Linked DNA regions of Oryctolagus cuniculus. The protein of the gene in region 1 interacts with the protein of each later gene in a biochemical or structural test. Links are inferred from orthologs where the notes say so. Each region holds a gene or a part of one and is shown on either strand. Other genes may lie near its edges. The genes, in order: TNFRSF8 and TNFSF8.

Evidence for each region.
Region 2: the proteins of TNFRSF8 (region 1) and TNFSF8 form a complex in vitro, tested with the Homo sapiens proteins (2 studies listed by BioGRID and IntAct). The link is inferred for Oryctolagus cuniculus from reciprocal best matches to the Homo sapiens genes TNFRSF8 and TNFSF8.

The regions. Positions count from the first base shown.
Region 1 is NC_091438.1:156,379,422-156,383,234, forward strand, and holds part of TNFRSF8 (tumor necrosis factor receptor superfamily member 8), read right to left. Parts: intron 1,950-3,813; coding exon 1,708-1,949; 3' UTR 1-1,707. UniProt on the Homo sapiens protein: Receptor for TNFSF8/CD30L. May play a role in the regulation of cellular growth and transformation of activated lymphoblasts. Regulates gene expression through activation of NF-kappa-B.
Region 2 is NC_091432.1:218,371,918-218,375,275, forward strand, and holds part of TNFSF8 (tumor necrosis factor ligand superfamily member 8), read right to left. Parts: intron 2,132-3,358; coding exon 1,743-2,131; 3' UTR 1-1,742.

The DNA.
Region 1 (3,813 bases):
AGGCTCCTGGCCCAGAAGTGGCAGTCCATCGGGGCCAGTGGTCTTGGTGTCTGCATGCTGAGGGAACCCCTGCCTCAGCTTTGCCATTTTTCATTATTATGGGCTGTCAGGACTTCTGAGAAGTTGTGTGCAGAGCCACCAGGTGAGGGAGCGCATCATTTCTCCCAAACGTGGGTCAGGGTCCTTCCACCGGGAAGCCCTGCTTGGCAGGTGCGTGGAGTCCCGCACTCCTCACGGCCCCAGCTGGGGGGGGGGGAAGACCTCATCCACTCCTCCCCCATGGGGGCACCTGAATAGACAGCGTCCGCCCCCCCCCCCCCCACTGGCCAGAGTCCAGGTCCCAGTACCACCACCTCTGGCCACGCCCCGCCCGGCCTCTCCAACTTTCCCCAAAACATCAGAGCGAGTTCAGAAACGGCCCTCGTGACGCCTGGCCCAGCCCCAACTTCCTGCAGAGAGCAAGCAGAGGTGAGTCACGGCGGCTTTCCCGGGCCTGGCCCGCGGGCAAGTCCAGGAGAACCCAGGCTGCCTGGACGCCCCGCCCCCGAGGCTGCAGATCTGGTTGTGGGCCTCCCATCTGTACTCGGGGGGGGGGGGGGGGGCTGCAGCCTGGAAGCCAAGGGCAGCCTTGCTCCTTAGCGTGAAATGCACAGTCCCAGAGTCCAGGCCGAGCCAGCGCGTGCAAGGTCCCGACGTGCACAAGGAGGCAGGACGAACGGCTGGGAGGCGGGTGCTGGCCAACAGCGCACCCCGAGGGCACCCAGCAGTGGCGGCAGACGGCGGGGCTGGTGCAGTGGATTTCAAGCGTAGCAGATGGAGGGAGATGCTTCTCCATTTCCGGGGCAGGGCAGATGGTACCCACAGAGCAGCCAGGGACCCCAGGAAGGGCCTGCAGTTCCCCATCTCGGTGGCAGGAGGAAGTCCCTGGCAAACGAGGCTGCCCCTTGTGAGCATGGCCAGCAGGCGGGGGCTCAGGGGCGGGGCCCTGCAGCTGCTGAGGGGCCGCAGACATCTGGATCCAAGATGCTTCCTGCTGCAGGGGTGGCTGCGGGGGTGGCTGGGGACATTCAGGGACCAGCGAGCTGAGCTGGGCCCACCATGGAGCAAGGAACAGGGAGAGCGGGCAGGAGCAGGGCTGGGGACCAGGCTGAGCCCAGATGGTGCCAGCAATGTTGCCCCATCCCGCAACTTCCCTTTGACTCGGGAGGAACCAGGGGCACTGGCTCTGTGCCTGCGGGGTCCACGTTTGCAGGGACGAGGGGCTGGTGGCAAGGCAGCAAGGCCACAGGAGAGGAGGGGGTGGAGGCAGGGAGTGAGCCGGCCTTCCCGACTCTCCCTCGGTGGGCACTGACTCTCGTGGCGAGTGTCTGGTGCCAAGGCTCTGGAATTGGTGCCCCCAGCAGCAGAGAAAGCAGGGGCCCTGTCTCGGCCATCGATCTGTGGCCCAGCAAAATCACCACTGGGAGCTAGCTCCCTGCAAGGGTCTCCTGTCCAGGCCCCAGCACCCTAGGCTCTGGCTGTACAGTCACCAAGTGGGAGACAGGAGCAGAGACCACCACCACCAGCACCCCTCCCGCACAGATCCACAGGACGCTAGAACCTCCGATCAGGCCACAGGGACTCCAGACCCCAGCTCGGTGTCGCCAGTGCCTCCCTGGCCTCCCGGGGACATCCAGCTGCCCTCTCAGGCCCAGCCCAGGGTGGGCCTCACTTTCCAGAGGCGCTGCTGGGCAGGGGGTCCTCCTTCCCTTCCTCCTCCACTGAGAACGTGACATCTCCACAGCTGCCCAGGGGAGGTTCTGTCTCCTGCTCCGGGTAGTGGGGAGCATGGTCCACCTCCAGCTCCTCCGACTGGGGCTCTGTGGGCCCTGCCACGCCCCAGCCCTCGGGCACCTCGGCCTTCACAGTCCCCACGATCACCGTGTCGGCCTTCATGATATAGATTTTCTCTGCAAGACAAAGAGATGGGCGAGATGGGGAGACCTGCACCCCCGGGAGGAGAGCAAAGAGGCAGAGAAGGGGCCGGGCCTCACTCCTGCCGTTCTCGCTGTGTGACTTCAGGCAGACGGCACAGCCTCTCTGGTGCATAGCGAGCCCCACTATCCTCCCAGGGCCCTGTGTGCTGAGGAGGTAACACCTGACCCACTTGGTACCCAAGAAGGTTGCCTGAGGTGTTCCTCACACTCCCAGGGTGGGGGGCCAGGAAGAAGGAGGAGAACGTGGCTCCGGAGAAGGCAACGGGGAAGGCGCGAGCATGCACCAGGCCCTTCCCACCCTGCCCCAAGCTTCCATGCTCCTGCAAGGCCAGGAGGCCACCGTTGTCCCCCTGGATGGTGAGACCCTAAGGCCACAGAGGCCCACTGACCTGGCTAAGGTCCCAGGCAGTCAGGAGAAACCCCGAGAGACCCCCACCCCATCCAGCCACCTCTTCTGCTCCAGTGGACAGCTGGAGTGGCCGCGCCATCCTGGCATCCTGTCCTGGGAGCCAGCTCAGCCCAGGCCACCCCAGCAGGGGGCACACAGCCTCGCTTTGGGCACACATCTCAGGGCTTTTGGCTGAAGCCCATCTCCCCCGGGGCTGCACGCCCGGCCTGCCATGCACAGTGGGTGCCGGTGGGTCTCCCTCCGCTCATCAGAGGTGCAGTTCCTTGTGGTCCCCACCACAGCCATCACGGGGGCTTCCAGGGCGGCCTTTTCTTCGAGGGGTCACAGGGACTCAGGGGAGTTAAGTGCCCAGGATCTGGGCAGTGGGGATGCCTGACCTTAGCCAGGTCAGCCGCCTCTGGCCCCCAGCACCCAGCTGCCACCAGGGGGAGAACCGGGGAGTGGCAGGCCAGGAGCTCAGGGACCCCTCCCTTGTGGGGTGCTCTGGTCACATCCTCAGATTCGGGGACCCCGCCCCTCGCCCTGTTGCACAATGCTGGCCCTTCTTCGGCTTGCAGCACCCCCAGGAAAGAGAGAAGTGTTCAGAATAGCAGTGAGAACTGGAGGGCAGGCTGGGGTGAGGGGAGGGGGCAAGCACGGGCCAGGTACCCTCTGCACCCCAAAACAGAGAGCAGCGGCTCGGGCCCCAGCCCACGGCCTCCATTGGGGCCTGAGGGCCCCTGGCTCTGGGGTCTCCACCAGAGGGGCTGGGTGAGAAATGGCACCCAGAGGTGGGGGGGGAGGGAGACAGGAGGTGAGACAGGACTCAGAGGACAAACCAGCAGAAGAGGGGAGCTGAGGGGCAGCGCAGCGGGCAGGGGCGCCAAGCAGGGGTGCGACTGGGCAGAAGCAGCCAAAGCAGGGGCCTCCGGCCTCGTCACCTCCGGCAGTCCTGCCCCTGCTGGCTCTGCCTCGGCCACAGGGCTGCCCGCCCTCTGGGAGCTTCCTGCCCTACCAGAGCTCCCAGATCCAGGGGAGCTGTGTCCTCCAGGGGTGAAGGAGGCCAAGAAGGGGCCCCATGGCCAGGTCTGCATTTGGTCCTCTTGGGGGCGCTCTTCTGGGGGTGATCAAGAGGACCAGGGGTCCCTGTGTCCTGGGGTCCAGAGGACCTGCAGGCCTCCCCTGCCCCCATGGCAGAGGGCATCCCCATCAGCACTGCCATCCCCAGTGAGGCTTGCGGGTCGGCTCGTGGGCAGCCTCAGACACGCGACTAAGACTCCTGGACCTCACCAAGCAGGGAGCTGGGGCCCGCTGGAGGGTTCCGAGTGGGGGCATGACACGTCTCACCTCCTGTCTCCCTTCCCCCCCACCTCTGGGTGCCATTTCTCACCCAGCCCCTCTGGTGGAGACCCCAGAGCCAGGGGCCCTCAGGCCCCATTGGAGGCCGTG
Region 2 (3,358 bases), on another chromosome or scaffold:
CTGCTAGGCCAAATGCCTGTCCCTGCTGTTATTCTTTTAAATGACATGCCTCTTGTGCCCTTGCATGCTGGCTTTATGAACATTGCTTGATAGACACCAAGTTTAGGAACACTCCTAGTACAAAAGTGAGTCCCTCTGTTCAGAGAATGGTTGGTGAACAGTGAAAACAGCACCTTTCTCAAGTTAGAATACAAGATATTATTAGCACATCTGCAAAAGTTTACACACACTTAGGTTGTCTATACATTTTCCATAATGCAGGAGTTGGCTCAGGTATCTCATTTGTCTACACAGTTGGTGTGTTATTCAAATGCAGAAGTCCCCTTGCTCTCCAAGTTTGAGTCCTCCCTTTGGCCTGCTAACCAGTAGGCTTGCTGAATCAGCTTCTCTTTCAATGCCTGCTCTTCCCAAAGAATCTACTCTCAGGAAAAGATGAAGAGACACATAGACTTCACTGAATCTTTCAGAGAGGAGATCTAGGAGGAGCCTGATGTAGCATGTTGCTCAGCAAATGTCTTAAAAGTTTTCCCTTATCCATCTTTGCTTTGCCACATCCCTCTCATCCATACCACAACTGGTGGTTTTGCCTTTAAATCTTTGCCAGCATTTCTCTAACACTGCTGAATTTCTATTCTTTCTTCTTGATGAAAATGCAATTTTTGCTGCATTATTTGGAATAGCAGTCGAGAATTCGTCTTTTCCTTTTGATGCCTAACCTCAGGGGCTTACCCTTTAACTCGGATGCCTTGTCACTATCCTGCAGCAAATGAGGGGCTCCTGCCATGATGACACAGAGATGTCGAGTTGGATGCAGCTGGAGAAGACTCACAACTACTTTCTTGAGGAGAGGAGGCTGCTCTTGTTCATAAGTCCTTCTCATCATTCTCAGGGTCATCATTGTCTATCGACAGTTTTATGGGAACACAAAAGCCCTCCTCCACAGAACTGGTTTCCTAAGGGGTGTTGGAGGCAGCGAACAGAAATGCACCATTCAGGAGATGGCAACAGCTGTTCCCTGACTGACGGCATCACCTTGACCATGACACACAGATGGAATGCTTGCTGAATGCATGGCACTTTCCCGGCAGGAAGCAAAAGCTGTCTGCTGTTGACTTATTGTCATTCTTAACTGGCATGGGGTCAGATCTTGTCAGATGGTTTTCTAAATACCCACGTGAGGGTTAGCTTGTGTTGCAGATCCTGCAATTCCCACCATTATTCAGGGCACCCTGAATATATGCCCATGGTCTCATTCTGTCGAGTTGATAGGCAGCCAGATGCTCCTGGTACCATTGGTTTTATACTGGTATGGGTGCCTTCCTGTAGTTCAGTGCTTCTAGAACCCTGCCTTCAAGCTTAGCTTGATGAGATGGAGGAGACTTTGGAGAGATTCATACCCAGCCTCCCGTGGATCCTGAGTTCAAGTGAGAGAAAGGATTGGCTCAAGGTCATCCAGTGGATTAGTGGTTGGGCAGGCCATATAGCCATTCCCTCTGCTTCCCAGGTGGGGCTCTGTCTACCAACCACATTCCTTTCCTGCCTTCTATCTGAAAGATTCTTGACTCAAAACTCTTTTTAACCCTAGAGTTGTATCTTCCCAAGAGACAGAAGGAGAAATGTGCAATTTAACATGCAGTTTCAGAGTTTGTCTAAAAGTTTTGTTTGCCCAAGTATTTGGGTAGATGAAATACTGTATGGTAGAGAGTTGTTTTCTTCCTGAAGGCCAAGAGAACTGTTTGCTCTTAACTGCTATATAAGAAGATAGACAGCACATTTTCAAGAGGAAAGGTGTTGGTATCCACATACTGGAATTTGTCTACCATCACTGATATGGTGGCATTGACCTGCAAGTAATCCAACAAGAATTGAGAGAGATTCTGGTATATCTCTCTGGTTGGCAGTCCAGATTCACACACTGTCACCAGGGCTTCTCTTTTGACCTCTTTGTTGACGAGAAGCTCCAACTTCAGGTCCACTGAATGGTTTGAACATTGCACAAGAAACTGCAGTTGGCAAATGATGAAGTACCAACCTGGGAACTGGATCACCAGCTTCCCGTCATGGTATGTGACTCCATGGACAATGCCATCTTTGTTCCAAGACAACCTGGTGCTGTTGAGATGCTTGGACACTGGGAATATAAGAAAAATAATTATTGAGAAAATTGCAGGTTTAGGTTGAAAACCTCTTTTTATTCAAGGTGCCTCATTCTAGATCCATATTTCTTATAATGTGCCTATTCTTCAAACCAATTGAATTGCTTTCATATTAATCCTTTCAGGGTCTTCTATTATTTAAGGCATGGGTAGAAAATCACCTGTCTTTCTTTACTCTGATACTCAAAGCTAGAGGGTCACAGAACATGACTATATAGCTACCTCTTATAGAATGGCTTCCTACTTAAGTATTATCATAATATTATTGTGCTATTATTGTCAGTATTATCTTTCCTTTTACAGACTATAAGATCCTGAACTCTATGAGTATTTTTCACAAGGTCTGGACTATCATGTTCATTTATCATGAAGAAAATTTGGTGGGAAACTACTATTAAGTAGGCAATGCACAGAGCATCAGAGATAGCAAATTCAATATTGTGCAACTAAGAACCAAGTTAGACATCAAGGTGTTCAGAGGACTCTCCACTAACTTTCACATTACACTATTCTTGAACTGTTCTTGTGTGGATCTTTGAATGTAGCCTTTAACAACTGTGTAGGCCTCTCACGTACACATTAAGGGACTCCTGCCATCTGGGATTTATAGAAAAGCAGAGAATTGGACCCTGCAAATCTATGTGTGTGTGCTGGAAGCCAAGTCTCTGAGTCTTAGCAAATGAAAATTAGCACTGACTGGTAAGGGTGCCTTTCAGAGCTGGGAAACGGGTATGCTAGTTTTAATTGCTTCTATACTTTCTCTTTCAACCTTCTTGCAATTCATTTGAAGAGTGAGAACTAATCCAACTGCAAAATTGAATTTTTAAAATGAGCAGAGTTGCTATTCAGAGAATCTTGGCCATCTCCATATCTCATTCTTTTGCAGTGTTTCTTATTGTTTCATTTATAAGGAGCCTCTTACCTGAAGCATACTGAAGTATGCAAATAGGCCCTGTGCCAACATGTTCATTAAGCTGTCAATCTGGGGACAAGGCAATTTTGCAGTTCCCCTGTGAATAACTGCAGAGAGGCAGAGATTAAGAGCCTGCTTCTGTGGCACTAGGGGAAGGCGCTGTATGCTTGGCAGAAACTGGTAGGTAGTTGAATAGAGAGAAGTGTGGGAAGTAGGAGACACAGTTCCTTTTGAGGACAGGTAGGCAACAAAAGTGAGTGGGGCTAAGAAAAGAAGAGCAGGAACAGGC